Linked DNA regions of Caenorhabditis elegans. The protein of the gene in region 1 purifies or fractionates together with the protein of each later gene. This does not show direct contact. Each region holds a gene or a part of one and is shown in the gene's direction. Other genes may lie near its edges.

The links.
Region 2: the proteins of ost-1 (region 1) and fbxc-14 fractionate together in Caenorhabditis elegans (co-fractionation; one large-scale study listed by BioGRID). This does not show direct contact.
Region 3: the proteins of ost-1 (region 1) and trd-1 fractionate together in Caenorhabditis elegans (co-fractionation; one large-scale study listed by BioGRID). This does not show direct contact.

Annotation. Positions count from the first base shown.
Region 1 is NC_003282.8:1,104,135-1,112,530, forward strand, and holds ost-1 (SPARC), read left to right. Parts: upstream 1-3,261; 5' UTR 3,262-3,314; coding exon 3,315-3,377; intron 3,378-3,426; coding exon 3,427-3,499; intron 3,500-4,678; coding exon 4,679-4,812; intron 4,813-5,080; coding exon 5,081-5,287; intron 5,288-5,761; coding exon 5,762-5,908; intron 5,909-6,262; coding exon 6,263-6,433; 3' UTR 6,434-6,738; downstream 6,739-8,396. Other genes in the region: C44B12.9 (uncharacterized protein), read right to left, coding at 412-475; C44B12.3 (8 kDa glycoprotein), read left to right, coding at 639-699, 753-952; srx-14 (7TM GPCR serpentine receptor class x (Srx) domain-containing protein), read right to left, coding at 7,328-7,424, 7,843-8,396. UniProt on the Caenorhabditis elegans protein: Has a high affinity for collagen. Affects nematode body morphology and mobility. Essential for C.elegans development and muscle function.
Region 2 is NC_003280.10:971,104-976,089, forward strand, and holds fbxc-14 (F-box domain-containing protein), read left to right. Parts: upstream 1-3,195; 5' UTR 3,196-3,199; coding exon 3,200-3,270; intron 3,271-3,468; coding exon 3,469-4,212; intron 4,213-4,269; coding exon 4,270-4,408; 3' UTR 4,409-4,442; downstream 4,443-4,986. Other genes in the region: C32B5.15 (F-box domain-containing protein), read right to left, coding at 1-327, 1,504-1,847.
Region 3 is NC_003281.10:7,383,181-7,391,679, forward strand, and holds trd-1 (Tetratricopeptide repeat-containing protein trd-1), read left to right. Parts: upstream 1-3,048; coding exon 3,049-3,111; intron 3,112-3,935; coding exon 3,936-4,023; intron 4,024-4,440; exon of another isoform or gene 4,441-4,531; intron 4,532-4,777; coding exon 4,778-5,025; intron 5,026-5,483; coding exon 5,484-6,120; intron 6,121-6,330; coding exon 6,331-6,737; intron 6,738-6,782; coding exon 6,783-7,274; intron 7,275-7,334; coding exon 7,335-7,568; intron 7,569-7,615; coding exon 7,616-7,762; 3' UTR 7,763-7,955; downstream 7,956-8,499. Other genes in the region: T20B12.3 (nucleolar complex associated 4), read left to right, coding at 26-641; tbp-1 (TATA-box-binding protein), read left to right, coding at 859-1,066, 1,691-2,253, 2,306-2,470, 2,516-2,602. UniProt on the Caenorhabditis elegans protein: Developmental protein required for cell fate determination in both the germline and seam cells of the developing epidermis.

The DNA of each region.
Region 1 (8,396 bases):
GACTAGACTTGCCAACGTTCATCACTGCACGCCGCAAGTGCGCTCCACCGGATGGCGCGCGGATCTGAATTGCCGGCGCCAACTCTAATTGTCATCATTCTGGAATGTTCTTGGCTCCTCCCAATTCCCCTATAAAAGGAGCAGAAACGCTCATTCGAGGCCTTTTCCTTGACTTTTAACTCGTTGTCACGTGTTCGCTGTTTGCCCACAACAACCTGCTTTTCTGTAAATTACTTTATTAACTAATAAACCTGCTCATGACAAGCCATTCTTATTGTATTTGTCCGTGTGGAGTACACGACTTTCCCAGGAGTTGTCCGGCGGGCGATTGCCAATGGATCGCAAAAAATTCAATGCGGAAGACCAGAACCCCGTGCACCCTTGCTACCTATTCCCTCCTATTCCGCTCACCTTTCGTTAGTGCTGTGATCAGTGTCACGAATATGGCTGAGAATAAAAGGAACTGCTTCAACATGATGCTTCGGTGATTTGAATCGAAAAGGAACACTCAATTTTGAAAGGATAGTTTTATACTCGGCCGTAAAACGCTAAAGTTATAGGCCATAAAGTTCCGTTGGAGTTTATGAGGCATCCGGGGGCAAAATATATAAACATTCAACCGTTGATAGCCGATGAAAATGTTAAAACAACTATTTGTTCTTGTTGGGCTCCTGGTGGTGTTTTCGGCTGCAGAAGAGTGTAAGAGATCTCCAATTACTACATTCTTTTTCACTGCTAAAATCTATTTCCAGCTGATCACCATTTTCTTCAAAGTATGATCAAGTTCGGAATCGACAAGAAGTGGGCTCAAATGATCAGCGGAATTGAGGAGAAACACGAGAAAGACAAAGCACTGCTCGAAAAGAAGTATAATGATGAATTGGCAGCTGTTGATAAGAGTATTCCACCAGAGCAGTACAAGCATATGATGGATTGGTATCGTCATGGTTAATACATAATTTTTTGAAATATTGGAATAAATTTTTTCCTAGCCTATCCCAGCCGAAAACCCTGAAAATTTTAACTTGGAACTTTGGCTCATTCGAGCCTTCTGTCCAACAGCTGTCATTATCTACTCATCATCATCGTCCTTTCCTTCTTTAAACAACCGCCCAAATTCCAAAGAGGTCGTCGCCTAAAAGTATATGAAAAAGAAGAAGTCGAAGAAGACAGCTGTCGTTGAGAGGGGTCACCCCGAGCCAACTCATCGGGGAGCTCAAACATCTAAACAATCGATGGGTGTTGTTATGGAATACTGATGGAAAAATGTGAAGGGTTTCGATAAAAACTATCTCTCTATTTCTATGAGCAATAAACAAAACACATCTGGTTCACACAATTTCCGTAGGTTTTCATTTCAATGAGCATTTTTGTGTGAACCCATTTCGAAGCGGTTACACGGGGTTCTGACCTTCCTTATTGAATTTTTCGCGCTCCAATGACAATCGGCCGCCGGACAACGTGTGGGAAAGTCGACAAATACATTTAGTTTTACAACTAATAACCGAATCGAGCCGCGACGCGACACGCAACGCGCCGTAAATGAAGATATGGCCGAGCCAAAATGACCTAGTTCGGCAAACTCTTCCATTTCAATTTTACAAAAAACTATTATCATAACACATAATCTCCTCGAAATTCCTTATATTTTGTCAGTTGAAAACTTTTTTCTACCTCTTCTCCCCGCCGAGAAAACGGCTCCTGAAATAACTAACGGGAAAGAGCGCAGAGGGAAGAGAGACGCAGGCTGCGCGCGCGCTCTGCGTCTCCCCTCACCCCACACTCTCTCGCCGCACAATCTTAAATCTTAAAAAATTCATAACTCAGTGGAGAGAAGAGCTACAAAAATGTTGTCAACGAACAAAATGTAGGAATTGTTACGTAGAATAGATTGTTAGTTGACAACTTTTCGATAACTTATATTCTCAATGAGATATGAACAATTGAAGATTTCCTCACTAACAGAAGGCAGAACTCAATATCGATCAAAAGTGCAACATATTTTTACACTTTGTCGGCTGCCACGATCTGTAAAAAATATGAAAAAGCACAGCGTTTTGAAGTAAACAGGACACCGACAGCTGTTGTTAGTACGGATGTAATTTGATAGCGGTCAACTGGAATGGAAAATGCGTTGCTACAGGACAAAACTACTTGCAGTGACCTGTGGAATTTATTTAGGAACGAACAGGAGTATAAGGAGCATATTAAGTCAAAACTTATGGGAGCAGAGATTCGCTGCACCATGTTTCGAATTACAAATTTAACGGTTTTTGTGCCATCAAAATAAGTTCCACTACAAATAGTTTACAATTCATTGATAACTTTTGTTTTTTCTGACCATTTTCCAGCTGCTCGGAAATTTTGAAAACAGTAAAAGTAGAAGGTAAAAATATGAAAAATATTCATTCCAAATTTTGTAAATAAAAAATAAATGAAGCTTTGATGCAACATGTCTGTCAGCTTATACCACAGATACAATTAGTGATATAAAAATACTATAACTATGTAGAAAGGTAGAGAATAAAGATGATAAGTGTTTTTCAGTTGACAATTTTTGAATAAAACTAACGACAATCGAGATATCAGCTGTCAAAGTAGAGATTTTTCCTTACGCTGCACATGGGTCTCCTTTCAAGGATCATATCTTGATTACAATTGAGTGTATAAACATGATTCTAACAACAAATTTATATATGAGAATATGTCAAACATTTTTGTAGTTGACAGTTTTTGAACAAAACAGAAGACAATCGAGATATCAGCTGTTAAAGTATACATTTTCCCTTACGATGCACCATGTCTTAAATTTCAACTTTGGAGGATCATATCATGGTTACAATTATTTTTAATCGTATGAAAATGATTGAAACAATAAAATTAAATGCATATATAAGAATATGTCACACATTTTGTTAGTTGATAACTTTTAAACAAAAAAGAAAAAACCGAGATATGAGCCTTTAAATGGAGAACTTTCCTAACGATGCACCATGTCTTAGATCTCAACTTTGGTGGTTTATATCTTGGAGAAAACCAAGAACAATGTTGAAGATGAACTATAAAAAAGTGCACATTATTTAATTTTAAAGTTTATTGCACAATCCAATTAATATTAGTCACTTCTCCATAGTCCCTTCTCCCAATAAATTGCACTTTCGATAATTCCAATCAATCTTGTGTCAATTTTCTCTGTCTTTCTTTTCCACCGGGCCGATATTGTGCAACATTGTGCCAGCCGTCTCCTCACATGCTCCGCCCAGATCTGTGTGCTCGGTGAGCCCCCAGCGGGTCCTCTTCATTCGCCGTCCAAGATGCGTTACGCTCTTGCCGCTTGTCTCCTGCTTCTGGCAGCCTCGTCTTTCGTTGACGCCAAGGTATGGGCTTTGAGGGGATTTTTTCAGCGAATTAATGAGAAATTTTCAGAAAAAGAAGATCGCTGATGATGAGCTCGGAGAGCTCCTCGACAACATCGATGCTGATGAGGAGAAGAAGAGTGGTGAGTAAACTTGAATACGGTATATATCGGCAATTATCAGTTCTATTCAAAATCTGCCAACTAACGAATTAATGCAAATTTCATAAGCTACAGCTTGTCAAAATTTAGCTATCGCAGCTGACACAAGCGTTAGTGCTGCTCACATATTTTCCAACAACTTGTTAGCTGACAACGTTTTGATAACTTGCACAGTCATGTCCCTTTTCAATTTTAAACCGGTGAATCTCAAGAATCATAGGCGTTACTAAAAGAACTACAATTAGTTTCTTAAACAAATTCTTGATAAAACCAAAAGCGATCCTTCGATGCACCATGCTTCTAACTTTAGTTGACGAGTTATAAAATTAATAAATATCCTATAGCAAAGTAACTAAAACTTTGTAAAACTTCCTACAAAATTCAAAAAGTTACGGCATTTTCGAAAACCTAATCAATTATCATCCATCATCCATAGTCCCAATCCTCAAGAAACCCAAAGAGTTTAAAACACATTCGAAACCCCTTCCGACTGATAATGATGATGATTCATAAACTGCCAATGTCCCAATCAATCTTGTTGCATCTGGCCAGCTAGCCGCCAGCTCACGGAGCCATCTCCTGGGCTCCTGCAGTGTAAAGTTGGAGAACCTTCGAAGATGCTCGAAGCTTTGTGCATTTCACGTCATGTGGTGTTGTAATATGAAGGCTGCTGCGGCGGCGGCGGCTCCGTGAGCAAGAGAGGAAAACGAGCACTAATATTTATGGGGGAACTTAGATGGGGTAGCTAGAGATGAAAGTGCTGAAAATAGATCAGGCGTGGGCAATTTGTAGGAAATTTTGTGAGAAATCGTTTGTTAGCGGACAATTTTTCACTAACTTTAATGATTGCCAAAAAATTCCGGTTTTAAATTAGGCTGCCGAACTTTTGATATAAATACCTCCGCAACCATTAGAGCTATCAAAGAGTTTTCAACCAACAATTTTAGGAAATTTTGTGAGCAATATTTTGTTAGTTGGCAATTTTTGAATAGCTTTACTGGTTGGCGAGCTATACGCTTCGGCGATTTCGCCAACTTCCGACCCCTGTAGCTCTGCCAGTTTCAGTACTATCAAATTTTTGCCAACTGGCAATATATTACAAACTCTTGGAAAATCATTTTACAGTTCTCAAACTCTTCTGAAAATTACTATATTTTGCAGTAGAGCCAGCCAAGAACCCATGCGAGGACCACCAGTGCGGATGGGGAAAGGAATGTGTCGTCGGAAAGAAGGGAGAACCAACTTGTGAGTGCATCTCAAAGTGCCCAGAACTCGACGGAGACCCGATGGATAAGGTGGGACCTAACAAAATGTTAAAGCTTGAAGTTTTAACAGTACTTTGTTAACTGATAACTTTTTTTTAGCTCTGCTGGTTGCGGAATTATAATTTTTTTAAACTAGAACTTTGACAAGTTCTAACTCCTCAGCCGTTACAGCTATCAAAAATTTGCTAACTACTAAAATGTAGCTTAAAACATGTTCTACAAGTTGTTAATCAATAATTTTTTAAAATCTAGCAATCTAACAATGTTACTCCTCTTCAAACAAAAGTTATCATTCCAGGTGTGCGCCAACAACAACCAAACCTTCACCTCCCTCTGTGACCTCTACCGTGAGAGATGCTTGTGCAAGAGAAAGTCCAAGGAGTGCTCCAAGGCTTTCAACGCCAAAGTCCACTTGGAATACCTCGGAGAATGCAAGAAGCTTGATGAGTGCACCGAAGAGCACATGGCTCAATTCCCAGAACGCATGGCTGACTGGCTCTTCCAGGTGGGGGTTGAAAGAGGCTAATAGGTGCCATTAAAAAACTGACAAATGGCACATTAACGTAAAAGTTGTTTGAAGCAGTTTGTTAGTTGACAATATTTTGTTAACTTCAAAACTAGCAGAGTTGCGGGGATTTGAAATTTCAAAAATTTCAAAACAAAAAATTTAGTAGATTTTTTTTTCAAGTTGGAATATCTCAGCAACCAGGGTTGCTTTTTAAAAAATTGTTTTCGAGAAATTGTAGCAAATTTTATGAAATTTAAATATTTTTAAACAAATTTTGTGTGTTCCAACTGATTGTCGAGTTATCGCTCCGCAAATTCGGCAACTCAAAAAACCCACAAAAAACGAAAAATGAAAAAAAAAAAACGTTTTTTCAAACCGATCCAACTCCGCTTGTTTCAAAGCTAGCGAAATTTTGTCAACTGAAGAAACACCATAAATTACTTAAATTTTATTAATCTCAATTTGTTTCAGGTCATGAAGGAGCTTAAGAAGAGACGTGAGCTCCACAAGCTCGAGTGGGAAGAGCTCCTCTCCGAGGCCGAGAACGACGACGAGAAGAAGCACGTGTACCCAGTTATCTGGAAGTTCTGCGAGCTTGACACCAAGCCACATGATAAGGTTAGTAAGAAGCTTGGTTTAAAAAAAAAACGATATATTTAAAAAAGCTAAAATTGAAATTTTGAGAAATAAAAAAATTCAAGCCAAAAAAATTTTAATTTATAAAAAATCAAAACTTATCAATTAATAAATTTAGACACAATGTTAAAAAAAAATATTCAGAATTAAAAAAAATCAGAAAATGTTTTATTTCCCAAAAAGAAAACATTTTTTGAAAGTTTTTTTAAAACCCTACTGTAAATTTTAAAAAATTAAAAAAAAACATTTTCGAAAATTTTTAAATTTTAATTTTCCACCCAAACCTAAAATTTTCTGAATTTTTTGAATTTCCCACTCTAATCCCACTATTTTCAGTCCGTCTCCCACCACGAGCTCATTCCAATCACTGCTCCAGTCATCCCAATGGAATCCTGCATCAAGCCATTCCTCGAGGGATGCGACGCCAACAATGACGGAAACATTTCAATTAAGGAATGGGGAAAATGCTTGGGACTTAAGGAGGGAGAGATCCAAGAGAGATGCTAAATAATTATCTAATTAAAAGTTTAAAAAATTCGAAAAAAAAAAACTTTCCCAAAAAAAATTCTAATCCAGCTTGCCGAACTGCCAACTTGCTCACATGCTAGAAATATCTGTAAATTACAGATTTCTAGGCCATGAACCCCCTATTTAACCTCAAATATCGATTTTTGAATTTTTTTTGCTTTGCTGAATCCAATGTGCCAAATCTCAGTTGAACATAATGATATCCTACTGATTCTTTTTAATTTTTTTCTATAATTTTCAATTTTAATAATAAATGTTTATTTTATTGATAATTACGGCAATTTGTGAGAGGAAAAAATTGAAAAAAAAAGAATTTCAGAAAAAATTCCAAAATATCAAAAAAAAACCACTTCCAGATTTTTTCCATATAACTCGGAAACCCTAGAAGCTACCAAAAAGTTGTAAACAAACAAAATGTAGCTCTGACAATTTGCAACATTTTCATAGTTGATATGTTTTTGCTAACATGTGTGGTTGCCGACTTATATCCCTCGACATGTAGACAACCAAAAAAATTGCGCTTCTCAAAAAAAAATCAATACGTATCAACTTTTGTTACATGTGCATTATAGTGCATCATAGGTCGGTGATTTGGAGAGCCTCCATGATGAGATCCATGCTGATCCACGTGGATCCATGACATTGTTGGAGGATGCACGTGTTCCGGGTGGTGCTCGGCGAGCAACTTTCGGTGAAAGTGAGTGAAAACCAGGATGGCGCTGAGATGATCAAGTTTAACTACCGTTTAACACATAAACCATAGAAAAATCTTTAAAACTGACCGAGTTATAGAGTTTCGACAAATTATGAAAAATAACTGGAAATAAAAAATGAGCTGTAATTTAGTCAATTTCGGTATGAGAAAAATATTATTTATATTTTTGAAATTAGCAAGACAAGGCACTTTAAATATGTATAATCATGACTAGGTTTCGACAATTCAAATTTTGGGCCCAAATTGGCCTGAAGCCTGAAATAGTACTAAAATTATTGTGGTAGTTGTTAAAAAAGTTTACATCTCGATTTATACATTAAAGTTAGTTTTAAATTATCCCATATAAACTCGACATTTTATAGGCATTCTTTAGACAGTTTCAGACAGTTTTAGGTCGGTTTAAGCCGATTTAGGCCATTTTCTGAAACCTACTCATGATTATACTCATCTGAATCGTCTTGACTAGCTGATTACAAATAATTAAAATTTTGTGGGCTCTGTAATAAAAATAAACAAGTTATGGTATCTTTAGTTGTTTTTGAAAATTCAAGAAATTTAGAAATTCTTCGAAAATCCATAACTTTCTCCAATTTTGTGATTTGTCTATGATTTTTGTGTCATTTTGAAGCTAATTTTCTATACTTTTCATGAAAAATATTTTAAGCCAACTGACCTGTCAAAAAGGTGATAAACCTGCCAACTCAGGCTGGTGAGTGCATATTTTTTCCATTGCTGCTTAACCAAACCAGTGCAAAAGCTTGATAATGTGGCGAAAATCAAAAATCCTAAATTTCTAGCGAAAATCATTAAAAATAGCCGGAATTCTTTAGGATTTCTCAAATTTTTCCTTTTGACCACTGCGAAAATCCATGTGGCGCAGTTTCCAACTACAGTAACCACGAGCAGAAGGTCACTGAGCAGCTGGAGCACCAGAAGCCTGTAGGTGGCACAGGATTTTTTTGTAGGCGCCGACCATTGCCACGTGGCAGGCTGGTAGGCGATAAAGCAGGTCTCGTAGGCAAAAAGTGGGCCAATTTCGAAAAAGCTCAGAGAAAATATGAAAATTAGGCAGAAAATGCAGTTTTGGCGGGAGAATATCGATTGATTTCTGGATGGAATGTGTACGGACAACAGAGAGCATAAACTGAGCAAAATGTGAGACCAAATAATAGAAATCCAGATGAAAGTATATATTTGGCCGATAATTTTTCCGAAAATCGAGCCGGC
Region 2 (4,986 bases), on another chromosome or scaffold:
TCTTTAAGTTCACCATCTATCTGTGGATACAACGACAAACTGCCTAAGTTCGGCCATGTCGAAAAGATTTGATCTAGAAAGGTGATTGGGATTGTATCTAGCTTAACCATTTCACTTAGAATAATGTGGTTGACATTTCGAATATTTGAGAAATGGTGAATCTTTTGTTGACTCATTCCTTGCTTCCAAAAAAATATTATATTTGATTTGAGATGTGTTTGGTGGAGGTTCAAAATCGTGTTTCGAAGCATTTCGTGAACTACTTTTAAGGTTGATCCATTGAAATAAAATTTGATTATACTGCTGGCTTCATGGCACGGAGTTGCGCTGAAATGCAAAATTAAAATTATTTACTGTGCTGGCCACAAACGGGGCTTCGTGAATTTTGGACTGTGTTAAATTAACCATAACTTAAAAGCTAATCATTATTTTCGAAAACGGTCAACTAACAAAACGTTGGTCATTATGTTGTTGACATTGCCTGACCGATATTATTTTACAAAAACTGCCCTGAAAAACGGTACAGCGACAGACATCTGGCTGGTCGATTTTTGACCTCGAATCTGAAATCGTCTGTAACTCAAGAAAAAATCGCTTCCATGAGAATAATTGAATTAATAACATGATCTTCATAAACATTTATGCCCTATGCATATAATAACTTTGTCCTCAACCCGCCGGGAAGTGAATGATATACAACTAAGCCTATATATTCCAAACTGTTGTGGATCATATTTCATAAAAATGATAGGACTTTTCAGAGTATTGTTTTCAGGCGTGAAACGACCTACATAACTATGATAAATTATTGATTCTTCAAAAAAACAAATGAATAATCAAAAGCAATCATTATTTTCGAAAACCGGCAACTAACACAATGTTGGCCATTATGTTGTTGACATTTCCTGACCAATATTATTTTACAAAAACTGCCTTGCAAAACATTACAGCGGCAAACATATGGCGGGTCGGTTTTTAACCTTGAATCTGAAATTGTCTGTAACTCGATAAAAATTGCTTCCATGAAAATAATTGTATTAATGAAATAATTTTTACTAAAGATGGAAGCGATTTTTTCTTGAGCTACAGACGATTTCAGTCAAAAATCGACTAGCCAGATGTCTGTCGCTGTACTGTTTTACAAGGCAATTTTTGTAAAATAATACTTATCAGACAATTTGAACAACATAATGACCAGCATTTTGTTAGTTGACAGTTTTCGAAAACAACGTTTAGTTTTTCAATTATGGCCATTCAAACAAAGCCAAAAAAAAAAACGAAAAACCGTTTGTGCATATCTTTTTGGCCAGCATTGTATTTACAGTAAGACTTTTGTATTACATGTGTAATATGGACATATTGGATACCCTATACTTACAGTCTTTCGGTCAGAACTTTTCAAAGTACAGTTTTTGAAAATTTTGATTGAGCTCGGCTGCGCTTAAGAGAACTCAAAAACGCTGATAATCAGGCTAGTATATTTTCAAAACGTAAGGAACTGACCAGTAAACCATTGTTTGTCCAATTTTCAATTTAAACCACTTTTCTTGCTGAATAATGTCTTCTCTTGACGCTTCTCTAATTAAAAACGATAAGTGTTCACTTAAATTATTAATGTCCTTCATTTGCATGACGTAAGAACGTTCAACGGATAAATTCGAACACGAATGGATCATCGACGAGTATCCTTTTTTTATTGATTTTCTGGCCAACGTTTCAGTTTTGGAAGAGCAAAATGAAAAGTTAAGCACGTCGATGAAGCTCATTTCCTGAGGAATTTGCCTACGGATCACAAGTGGAAAGGTGAAGAGGTTGAAGGGCATTCTGAAAAAAAAAACTATATACATTATGTAATAAGAGGAAATGGTAAGCAGCAACTTATAGAGAAAAGAGAAAATTCAATACAAAAGTAATTGTTTTTTTTTGAAAAAAAAAATTGTGCATAGTGATAGCGATAGTGCAGGATTAATTATCAATAGAATTGTATAAGTGCCAGGCTCATAAAAAACAGCGATTGAAAATAAAGCCATTGAGTACAGAGCAAAACCGATTAAAGCCTCGATGTTTTATTCATCTTGATTTGAACTTCAACATTTTCGGGGAAAAAAACGATAAAGCACCATGAATATAACATTCATACAACATTTGGTGGTACCTAAAAACTTCAAAAATATGGAGCTGTGTGCTGGCCAACCGAGGGGTCAACCATGTGACGTATTGCGTCTTCCCACCGATGCAGTCTCCCGCTGGTCTATGGAATTGCGGGAGGCGTCAACTTGCAGGACCAATTTTTCGCTGAAAACGGTTAAAGGTGGAGTAGCGCCAGTGGGGGAATTGCTTTAAAACATGCCTATGGTACCACAATGACCAAATATCATAGTAAAAATTAAAAAAAAAATTTCTAAATTTTATATGATTTTTTGAAAATTGAAAAAATCTCGAATTGCATCAAATTCCTATTTGAATTACCGCCAATAGTTCGATGTTCGATGGAGCGCGCTTGCATTATTTTAAATTTAAAATTTCGAATCTAAATCTTTGAAATAGATTATTTCAGGCTCAACGTCGTTGAAAAACGTGATATCTCTGTTTTCAATTATTTTTAGTGAACAATCTACATTTATCTTGAATTTTTCGATAAATCTCCAGTAAAATTACTCAAAAAAAAACATGAAAAATCAATTAAAAATAAGAAAAATTAATAAATAAAAGTTAAAATAATGCAAGCGCGCTCCATCGAACATCGAACTATTGGCGGTAATTCAAATAGGAATTTGATCATTGTGGTACCATAGGCATGTTTTAAAGCAATTTCCCCACTGGCGCTACTCCACCTTTAACTAGCAACATGTATAGATTCTTCTTATGAAATCTAATTTGCAAAAATTAGAGCGGTCTGATGGACTAGATTTTCTGAGCACTTTTTTTTTACGAGTCTACTGTTCAACAGAGTGAAATTTAGAATTGAAAGCTTAATAACTGCCGAGAGTTTATAGGGCCCCAGGCCCTATAAACTCTGACTAGATCTTGCCTACCTGTTTTTTTAGACAAAACACCATCTGTCCTAAATAACCGTACCACCCTTTTGCTCAGCGAAATGACCCCAGCTGCAAATGCGCCCTAATTTCCAGCCAATATAAAATCGATATAATCTCAGTGGGGTCTTGCTGTGCCATTCTCGTCGTTACACCTGCACACTATGTTAAATTCAAAACCAGTAAGCTACCAAGTATTGAAGTTCATATTGAAGCATTTGGATCCAAGTTTGAGGTGAGTATTTTGGCTTGGAAAAGTTACGTATTTAGAGGGTTGAGTTTTGAGAATGACGGAGTTTTCGGAGTTGAAATTTTTGGGTATAGAGGAAATTCATCCAAATCACAGCTCACATTATGTTTCAAGCTTTTTGCTCAAGTGCCACACAATTTTTTAATACATAGCTAAACCTACCTAACTATAAGTATATTTCAGAATCCAACTCTGCCTCGTCTGCCCTTCAATTCATACCTTAGAAAAATCAACCCCTTCCTACATCCACTATCTCAAGATAACAGATAACAGCGTGACAGTTAACCGGGTAACCTGTCAAATTACAGTTACCGATAGAAAAGTTGATTATCAATTTGATATCAATCAATTCCCAAGTATCAGTGGTACAGTCGAACTAAGGAATAGTAGAAATAATCTGACCAAAACTATGAAGTACCTTCTCGACAAACTCTTTAAAGGAAGAACTGTGAAAGTGGGCCAACTTGCAATTTCTTGTGAAAATCCTCTACGGGTTCCGTTAGCTGCCAGGATCAATGTCAATGTTTTGGAGGTTTTTGATTCCCGGAGCTTGTCGGCTGCTAGTTCACTAATTGCAAACTCTTGTCTACCATTAAGCTTGATAAAACTCCCATTTAAAAGCCTTCTGAAGACTAATAACAATCCAATTACATCAATAGTAAACCGAAAAACTAAAAAATGGCACTTCAAAGCTCCAACCACAGCTCCACACAACCTCAGGCGGGTACTGACGTTCCTGCAAAATCGGAGAGTTACAACTGCACATTTCGAAAGGGGACACTTCTGCTTTTCAATTGTTATAGAATACTTTATGGGTGATAGTGATATAGAAAATGGAACTTATTATACATTTGACACAACTAGGGGAGCTGTATTTGTAGTTATGGAGAGGAGTAGGAAGAGGTATAAAGCGATGTTGGAAGATGGGTAAGTTAATCTAAGGTTGAATATTTTCAAAAAAAATCTAAAGTTGAATACTTTCAGATCTTCTCGACGTTCCAATCAGCTCACCATCAAGAAGAACAGCACCTCGAAATTGGTTATCAGCAAGATACAGCAGGGAGATGCATGGATTTTGGGTTTCAAAATTGAGCGGCGAAGACTTTTCCCTACTTTTTTTTGAGAACAACTAATCGTTGAAAAAATGAAAGAATTCCTATGAAACTGTTTTGTCTTGTGACTTGAGAACTATCGGATTTCTGTGTTTTTGGAAAAATATCACAGCGGCAGACATCTGGCAGGTCTGATATAGTTTTCGTTTAGAAAGATTCGTACTTTTTACAACTTTTCTAAAACCTCTCCATCCCAAAAAAGAAGATTTTGCAAGGGTCGAGCCACTTTCAGAAGATACTCGATCAAAAGCTTCTGCATGCCAGGTCAGGATAATTCTGAAGCTAGAGATCTGGTTCAGGGACACCTGATCAAGTTATTTGACCACGTCCAGCTGACCACCACTGTGCTGCTGCAAATCTGCTCTAATTGTCAACGGGTCGAAAGAATTACATTGGGGTTCTCTTGGTCATTCTAGCCTCTTACCAGTTGATCCTAACATTGAAATGCTTAACATTTTCCTAGGCTGAAACCAAAATTTCATCAAAATCACCCTTGAACATAATAAAAAATAATAAAAATGTGATGCCTCGTTAGGGATCGAACCCCTGGCCTATTGCTCCATACAATTTTTCCTCTTAGCTCTTCCCA
Region 3 (8,499 bases), on another chromosome or scaffold:
TTTATTCTGAATCATACCTTTTCAGCCATCTCCCAACATACATCACTGCTTCGTTCCTCAAACGACTCTCCCGATGCCTTCTTCTTGCTCCAATTGATGCTCAGGAACCAATTCTTGGATTAATTAGAAATCTTGTGATTAGACATCCAAACTGTTCTGAATTGGTTCATCGTGAGGTTCCTCAGACTCTTTACGATGATCCTTTCGACAATGATGAGACAGATTTACACAAAACTCGCGCATTGGAATCAAGTCTTTGGGAGATGAAACTTCTTCAATGTCACTGGAATCAAAGTGTCAGAAAACGAGCTCATTTCGTTGATAAATCGATTCAAAAAATTGAGTCTTACGTTCGATTCCGATGCACCGACGAGTTATTCTCTGTAAACATGGCAAAATCATTTGGCGGAGAGGATGGAGAAGCTGAAAAATATCGAAAACTGCAAGACGGGGATGAAGACGAAGAGGGAACAGGAAAGCCGGAACCGAAGAAAGCTCGTAGAAAAGGATTTGGTGGGAAATTCGCTCCAAAACACGAAGAAAAAGTCACAAGAGCAGTCGGTGTGAACTCTGAAGCGCCGAAAGGAATTCTTGATAGACAAGTTCCAATCATCGATGTTCCAACTTTATGGAAAATTTAATCAGATTTTTTGTTACAGTTATTGTTGTTCCACTTTTGTTGTTGTTTTTCCGTTTTCTCGTTTTTATATTTTAAATTTTCAAAATAGTACTGTTGTTTTTCTTTTAAAATAATTATTCCAGTGTTTTATTCACTGAAATCATATTTAAATTAAATATCTTGTTCCAATTTCTTATCCATTTTTCTTTTTTTGATTAAAAATATTTTTACAGTTCACAATGAACCTTAACAGCCCAGCTGTATCAATGCTTGGCGGTGACACCCCTGCACATGGTGGACCGAATTCCGTACTTGGAGGTCAAGGACCCTCATCAATTCTCACGGGACACGGTCCCAACTCTGTAATGGGACCAAACTCGATTCTTGGACCTGGAAGTGTTCTCAATCCACAATCAATTCAACCAATGCAATCACAACAAATGCACAGTAAGTTATTTGTGGAAAACTCATTTCAGGGTTTTTGCTTGAAAAGGATAAAACTAGCCCAAAATTAACTAATTTTTTTTAAAGAGACTGCTCATAAAATTTTCACTATTTTTTATGGCATGACAAAAAGTAAATTAACAAGAAATCAGAATTTTGCTGAATCCCGAGACTTCTATCACAGCAGCTGAATTACAGATTTTTTGAATTATCACCCTTTATAGAATATTTTGTTAGTTTTTCGTTAATTTCGGCAAATTTTTATGTCGTTAGGCGTCTAAAAATGAACATAATTGGCATGTCGATCATAAATGGGACTGAATCGACGATGTGAAGCGAGATAAACAACTAAATTATAAAATTATAAATTGTTCAATAAAATACACTAATTAAAAAAAACTGTATCCTAACTGATGCGACAAGGAAAAGTTAGCGAAATTTCAGATTTAAGCGAAATTAATACGTTTTTTTTTCGAAATTTTAATATTGTACAGTTTAAAAAATTTATGAAAAAATCTGATGAACTCTCTGTGCACGTTTATTTTAGCCGTGACCAGTCTTTCAACTTTATAACCTTTTTTCAGTCTTAAAGCCGTTTGTCAAAATTAAAGATTTATATTATTTCAGGCCTTCAAGGTTCTTCAATGCAAATGCATTCACATCTCGCCAACTCCAATCTCAACTTGAACATAAATCCAGCTTCAGTCGGACCTGATCGTAATCCTGGATCAGTTATGCATCACAATTTGGACATCAATCCTCCATCAGTTGCATATCAGAATTTGACAGTTCCAATGACACCACTTGCATATTCTGTATATGATCGAGATGCTCTGACACATCAGGCTCCGGCAAGTAACATCGCTGCCACAATGGTTCCAGCAACTCCAGCAAGTCAATTGGATATTCCGATGCCAGCTCTTCAGAACATTGTCTCTACAGTCAATTTGGGAGTTCAATTGGATTTGAAGAAGATTGCATTGCACGCGAGAAACGCCGAATACAATCCAAAACGTTTCGCAGCAGTCATTATGAGAATTCGTGAACCAAGAACAACTGCTTTAATTTTTTCGAGTGGAAAAATGGTGTGCACTGGTGCGAAGTCAGAAGAAGCAAGTCGATTGGCAGCACGAAAATATGCGAGAATTGTTCAAAAGTTGGGATTTCAGGCGAAATTTACCGAATTTATGGTAAGTGTTTCTGGAAAAAGGTCACAAAATCATTTGAATAATTTTTTTGTAGGTTCAAAACATGGTTGGTTCTTGTGATGTTCGTTTTCCGATTCAACTTGAAGGATTGTGCATTACTCACTCTCAGTTCAGTACTTACGAACCAGAATTGTTCCCTGGATTAATTTATCGTATGGTCAAACCAAGAGTTGTGCTCCTTATTTTTGTGTCTGGAAAAGTGAGTTTAAGTTATGAAATAACCTTTTCTATGTTAAATTTTCAGGTTGTTATCACTGGAGCAAAAACAAAGAGGGACATTGACGAAGCATTCGGGCAGATTTATCCAATCTTGAAGGGATTCAAAAAATAACTTTCTTTTATTAAAATTGTTTTCATTCTTCTTTATTTTCAAATTTTTGTTTCATTTTAAGCCTTCCCTTATCCCTAAACCCGGATCTCGTATAATACAGGTAAAGTAGCTTCATTTTAGACATCTATGCACTTTAGAACCACTTTCTTCAGTCTACCAATCCGATAAAATCGTTTCGAATTCAATAAGCTTTCGATTAATTACTGCTCACCATTTCTCCCCGTACCTTGTATAATTTTGTTGATGTTATTTTTTTTTGAAGAAGTGACATTATCAATGTTCTTTTCAACTTTCCTCTTGTTTTTCAAATTTCTCCCGTATTATTGAGAATAAAGTATTAAAATAGTTGTTGTTCAATCTACGAAATTGAATTTCTGATAATTTCTGTAATATATTTATTCATATTTCAAATTTATAACATTTCAGATTGAAATTTATCGTTTTAGATGATTCCAGCTGATATTATTGCATCAATTGCTGGATTAGTAAATGAAAAAGATATTGAAAAGGTATTTCATTGGTTTCTACATTTTCAGATATAAAAGAATATTTCTTAACCCGACAAAACTCGGATTTCGATCTCACTGTCAATTCTGTTTTTAAAAAAGTAATTAAGTTTCGAATTTAGTAGAATTTCTCCAAAATTTTTTTGCCAAAAGACTAGGAAAATTTAAAAAAAACAAACAAACTGAAATTTTAAAGGTTTAGTGAAAAAACTCCGAAAGAGAAATTGAAATTAGTGAAAACACAAGAAAACCAGAAAGAAAGTCGATTTTAATTTATTTTGAATCCGTAACAACTCAAAAACTTGAGCAAAAGTTTCGAGACCCGAAGAACTCGAGGGATGTCCAACTGGGGGGATTACCAACTCGGGGGATTGGCCCCGCCCACAGAACCGTGGCTTGCAATACGCCCATTTTTGCAACTGCCGCACGGTTTTAAAATTATTTTTCTTGTTAATTCTCGCTCTATTGAGAAAAATACAGTTTTAAAACCGTGCGGCAGTTGCAGAAATGGGCGTATTGCAAGCCACGGTTCTGTGGGCGGGGCCAATCCCCCGAGTTGCTAATCCCCCCAATTGGACATCCCCCGAGTTCTTCGGGTCTCAAAGTTTCAAATTAAAAAAAACAACACTAGAACCATAAACATCACATGTTGCTAAAGAATATCCGCGAAAAATGTAGAATAGTTTTTTTTGGATTTTTTTCCAAAAACTAATTTTTCGTCAAAATACAAAAAAAAAACACATGGTTATAAGATCGCTCACTTTTGCGCAAACAGTTTTTTGAAAATATAAAGATTCATAGTATCCGAATGAATTCAATTTTTTCAGATCACTTCTGAGTATCAGGACAACATTTGGGAATTCGTGGAATCACTTGTGACTCATGTTCTTGCCAGTAATCATGTTGGATATTCTGGTAAGAATGAATATTTTAACACCCTAAAAATATTAAAACGAGATAGAAGTTTGGAAAAAAAATTCAATTACAAAACTTATTTTTTTTAATTCAAAAATCGTACAGTAGAAATAATAGTATAAGGTTCGATGTGCTCTGTGAGCCAGAAGCTGCAAAAAAGAAGTGCAACAGGCTGGCTTCTCTGTGCTCTCCAGGCGCCGGTCGGTGTATGGGCTCGGCGCTCGGCGCCCGGAGCCTCTGTCTCTGTTGTGTTACTTCGTGTGTGCATGTGCTCTGGAGAATAAGGAAAACGAAGAGAAAAAAGCAAAGACGAAACGAAAAAAAAACGGGGGAAAAAGCAAGCACATGCATGCGAAAAGTGTGTTGAAACTGGAGAACTTCTCGTGCTATGTGGAGCCAACGACAGCGAAACGAGTCGGCGGCGATGGTTGGGTGGATGAGGGCTTCGTCTAGTGGGAATCGACGGTTTGGTTCGATTCTCTACCCCTTCCACGACGCATTGATTTTAGGTTAGGCGGTTTTGCAATAATGAGATAGGATTCCTCTAGGGATGAGGATCAAAATAAATCTATTTTTGAATTTTTCACAAAAAATCAACTAAAAGTCGTAACTGTAGCAAATCGTCAAAAATTGTAGGCATCCTGAAGAAACCTGGCACCAAAAAATCAGAAGGACTGAAAAAAACCACTCATTATTTTTGAATTTGGATTTTCTCAAGTTTCAAAAGAACAGAAAATTTTCAAGCTATTTTCAGATTATAACACATCCTCGTTCATATCAGAAGAACTCGCTCGCCAAAAATTATCATGTGGTCTGAATATACCAAATGCTGTGTCAAAGTCCTTATGGGCACTACACTTGGCACATGAACACGTGGAAAAATTGAAAGATCTTTCTGATATACCTCCAATTGGATATCGTGTTATACTTGAGTTCTACCTAGTTTGGCAACAGCTTCTCATTGATCCAGAGGAAACTATTCGCACTGAAATTGAACCAATTGTAAGTTAAAAAATATATAAATGTGGATAAAAAGGTTATACTTTTTTTTTTTTTTTTTTTTTTTTTGAAAAAAATTTAAAATTTATTCAAAAAAAAATCAGACTTCTTTCTTGGCTTTTTTCTACGGTTTCGACGAGGATGTTTCAGTTGATCCTCCACATTCTTCTTTGATTGTTTGCATTCCTTCGATACCGTTCAGTTTCTTCTTTCTTCATGTCTTCTTTGCCTGCAGGTTTACAAACCGCACTTTTTGAATGAAGAACTGTCAGAATCACGAACACGATTGTAGTGATGATTCCGATACCTCCGAAGACAGCCGAAACTATCATTAGCATGCTAGATGGCAAAATAAAGTGCTTTTCACTCATCTTTTTGATGAATGAGCGTTTTTAAAAACTCGAAAATACTTGAAATTTATGAGAAAATTTTTATTCAGTTTAGAAACTAATATTTTTCAGATGGAGAAGCTTAGAGTTTTGATTGCCGAAGAAAATGATGCATTCACTTCAGAAGATCGATGTCAGATACAACTCGAGATGGCAGCTGTACGGTTTCAATTTTATGAATACGACAAAGCAGATAACCTGATTAAAAGTGCAAGTGAAGAATGTCAACTAAACATGGATTTGAGTGGAATGATGGGAAAACGAACACGGTTCCAACAGAGAGATATTGCACAACTAGTTTTGATTCATAAGGATCCATCAACTACTGGAACACCTCTTCCTCCAGATTCTGATATTCCGCAGAGTTTGGATATGAATGATGATACTCTTCTTGAACAAGTTGCTATTACTGAACAAGGAGCAAGAGTTGATGGAAGAACACTGAATGCATGCCAACTTTCGTGTCTGTTATGGATTGCTCGACATGAATCAGCAACTCATCGTCATGATGTATTAGTTCACGAACGATGTTCACCAGTGTTGGATACTGTAATTGCAGCAAGAAGATATTGGAGTATTCAGGCAGCTGCTCTTTTGGCTCGTGCAGAACTTGAAAGAGGTCGAGTGAGACAAGTGGATCGTTCATGTACACAATCTGAATTGGTGGTAAAGTTACAACAAGGAGTTGATGATCCAGTTCTTATTAAAGGTGATTACTGAACTTTTATATTCAATGGAGAAGTTAAAAAAAGGGTAGAGCTCGAAAAATAATTTTTTTTTGAAAACAAAAAAAAAGTGTTTTACAATAATGAGAAGTTTTGCAAGTTTTATATTTTTATAGAGTTAAAAAAATTTCGATCATATATTTCCACGATAGTTACAATCAAGAAATCATCGAAAAAATATTTCAAAATTTTAGATCGTCTTCTCCGCACGTCATATATCCTCGCATCTGGTCTCACTCCATTTTGGCAATCTTCTGTTCTTCTGGCTGGTATTCTCAATTCTCTTGGATGTACTTCTGAAGCTTTGCTCATTCTGGAAAAGCTTGAAATGTGGGACGGGGTTATTGACTGCTACAAGCAACTCGGACAAATGGACAAGGCTGAAACTCTTATCCGCCGTTTAATTGAGCAGAAACCAAATGACTCTATGCTTCATGTATACTTGGGAGATATCACAAGAAATTTGGAGTATTTCACAAAAGCTATCGAATTATCTGATGATCGGAATGCAAGGGCTCATCGATCACTTGGACATCTCCTTCTAATGGATAAAAAGTTTGAGGAGGCCTATAAACATTTAAGAAGAAGTCTGGAATTACAGGTTACTGATAAAACTAATTATATTTTTATACAACTTTTTTTTCAGCCAATTCAATTAGGAACCTGGTTCAATGCTGGCTACTGTGCATGGAAACTTGAAAATTTTAAAGAATCCACTCAATGTTACCATAGATGTGTATCCCTTCAACCTGATCATTTCGAAGCTTGGAATAATCTATCAGCTGCCTACATTCGACATGGACAGAAGCCAAAAGCATGGAAACTTCTACAAGAAGCTCTTAAATACAACTACGAACATCCGAATGTATGGGAGAACTATATGCTTTTATCAGTAGATGTTGGAGAATTTTCTCAAGCAATTCAAGCCTATCATCGTCTTTTGGATATGAATAAACGAGGAGCTGACGATGAAGTTTTGGAATTAATTGCTCAAACACTTTTAAGAAGAGAAGCTGAAATTTCAATGGATGAGAGCGAGGATAAAGCTCAAAATGAAGCAGAAAATCGGAAGGAAAAAGAAGAAATGATCAAGTTGTTGGCCAGAATCTCAGCGAATCATCAAACTTTATCCCCAAAAGTAATTTTTTATCGAAAATTTAAAACTTTCTAAAAAAAAAAAAATTAAATTAAATTTCAGACTCTCCGTGTCTACGCTCTTCTCAAGAAGCCATCTGTTTTATCATCGGAAACTCGAACCGAATTTGAAAAGTATGTGCGATTACTGGAGAAGAGTCTAGCTGCAGCAAATGGAAAACTGACGTGGCCAAAAGAAGAGAAATTGGCGTTGGAAGTTGTTGAAACTGCTGTACGATTAGCCGAAGATCGTCTAGAGTTGGCAAAGTTCATCGCATCGGATACGTCTGTGAAAGAAGTAAAATAGATCATGTTTCCGTTATGTATCTAAATTCATTTTTACAGGCATCCGCTAAAGTTCGTTTATCTCTTCGTGGCATTCTTACTCGTCTTGATAAGGATTCAGGAAGCCGCGTGTCTGGTGATGAGACGGAGAAACTTCAGGAGATCGTAGAAGTTGCCAAAAGTCTTCTGGATAGTGTGGCAATTTGAATCTCCAAAAATTCAAAATTTAATAAAAATATTCCCTGTTAATCTTTGATTTTCTCCCAGTGAACGATGTTGTTTATTTTGTTTTTGTTCTAATCTTAATTCAGTTGTTATTGTTTTGTTTTTCTTGTTCTGTTTCAAGTAATTTAATTCATTTAAATTTTTTTTTAGTAATTCAAATGAAAATTGATAGATACATTGAAAACTACACATACCCTGATTTTTTTCGCGGGGAGACTGAAGAAAATGGCACCGGAGCGGCTTTTTACTTGAAAATTGGTCAGTAGAAATGAGAAAAACGAAGAAAAACAAAGCAAATTACCATTTTGAAAGAGCGATCGAGAGTTTTTCAGAAAAAATTATTTTCTTGAAATTTTTTGAAAAGAAAAACTGACAATTTTTCTTTCCTGATTTTATTAAATTATTACCTGCTTGCGAAAAATTGTGATTTTTAACTTTGAATCACGGCTTTGGGTCTTGGCACGAGCCAAACTTTCCAGCTACCGTACACTGGAATATGGTAGATTTTTATTTTCATTTTCGCAATTTTCTGTTCAAATTGCAGTTTTAAATTTTAGAAAATGGATAAAGCAAAGAGAATGGTGAACTGCAGACAAAGTGTTAAATACTCGCAGAGCGGGCACTGTAGCTAAAAAGTTTCGCTCATCGCAGGGCCCACTGCCATGATTTTTGCGGAGATTTGATCGCAAGTTTTAGCATCCCAGTAATAAAATAATATG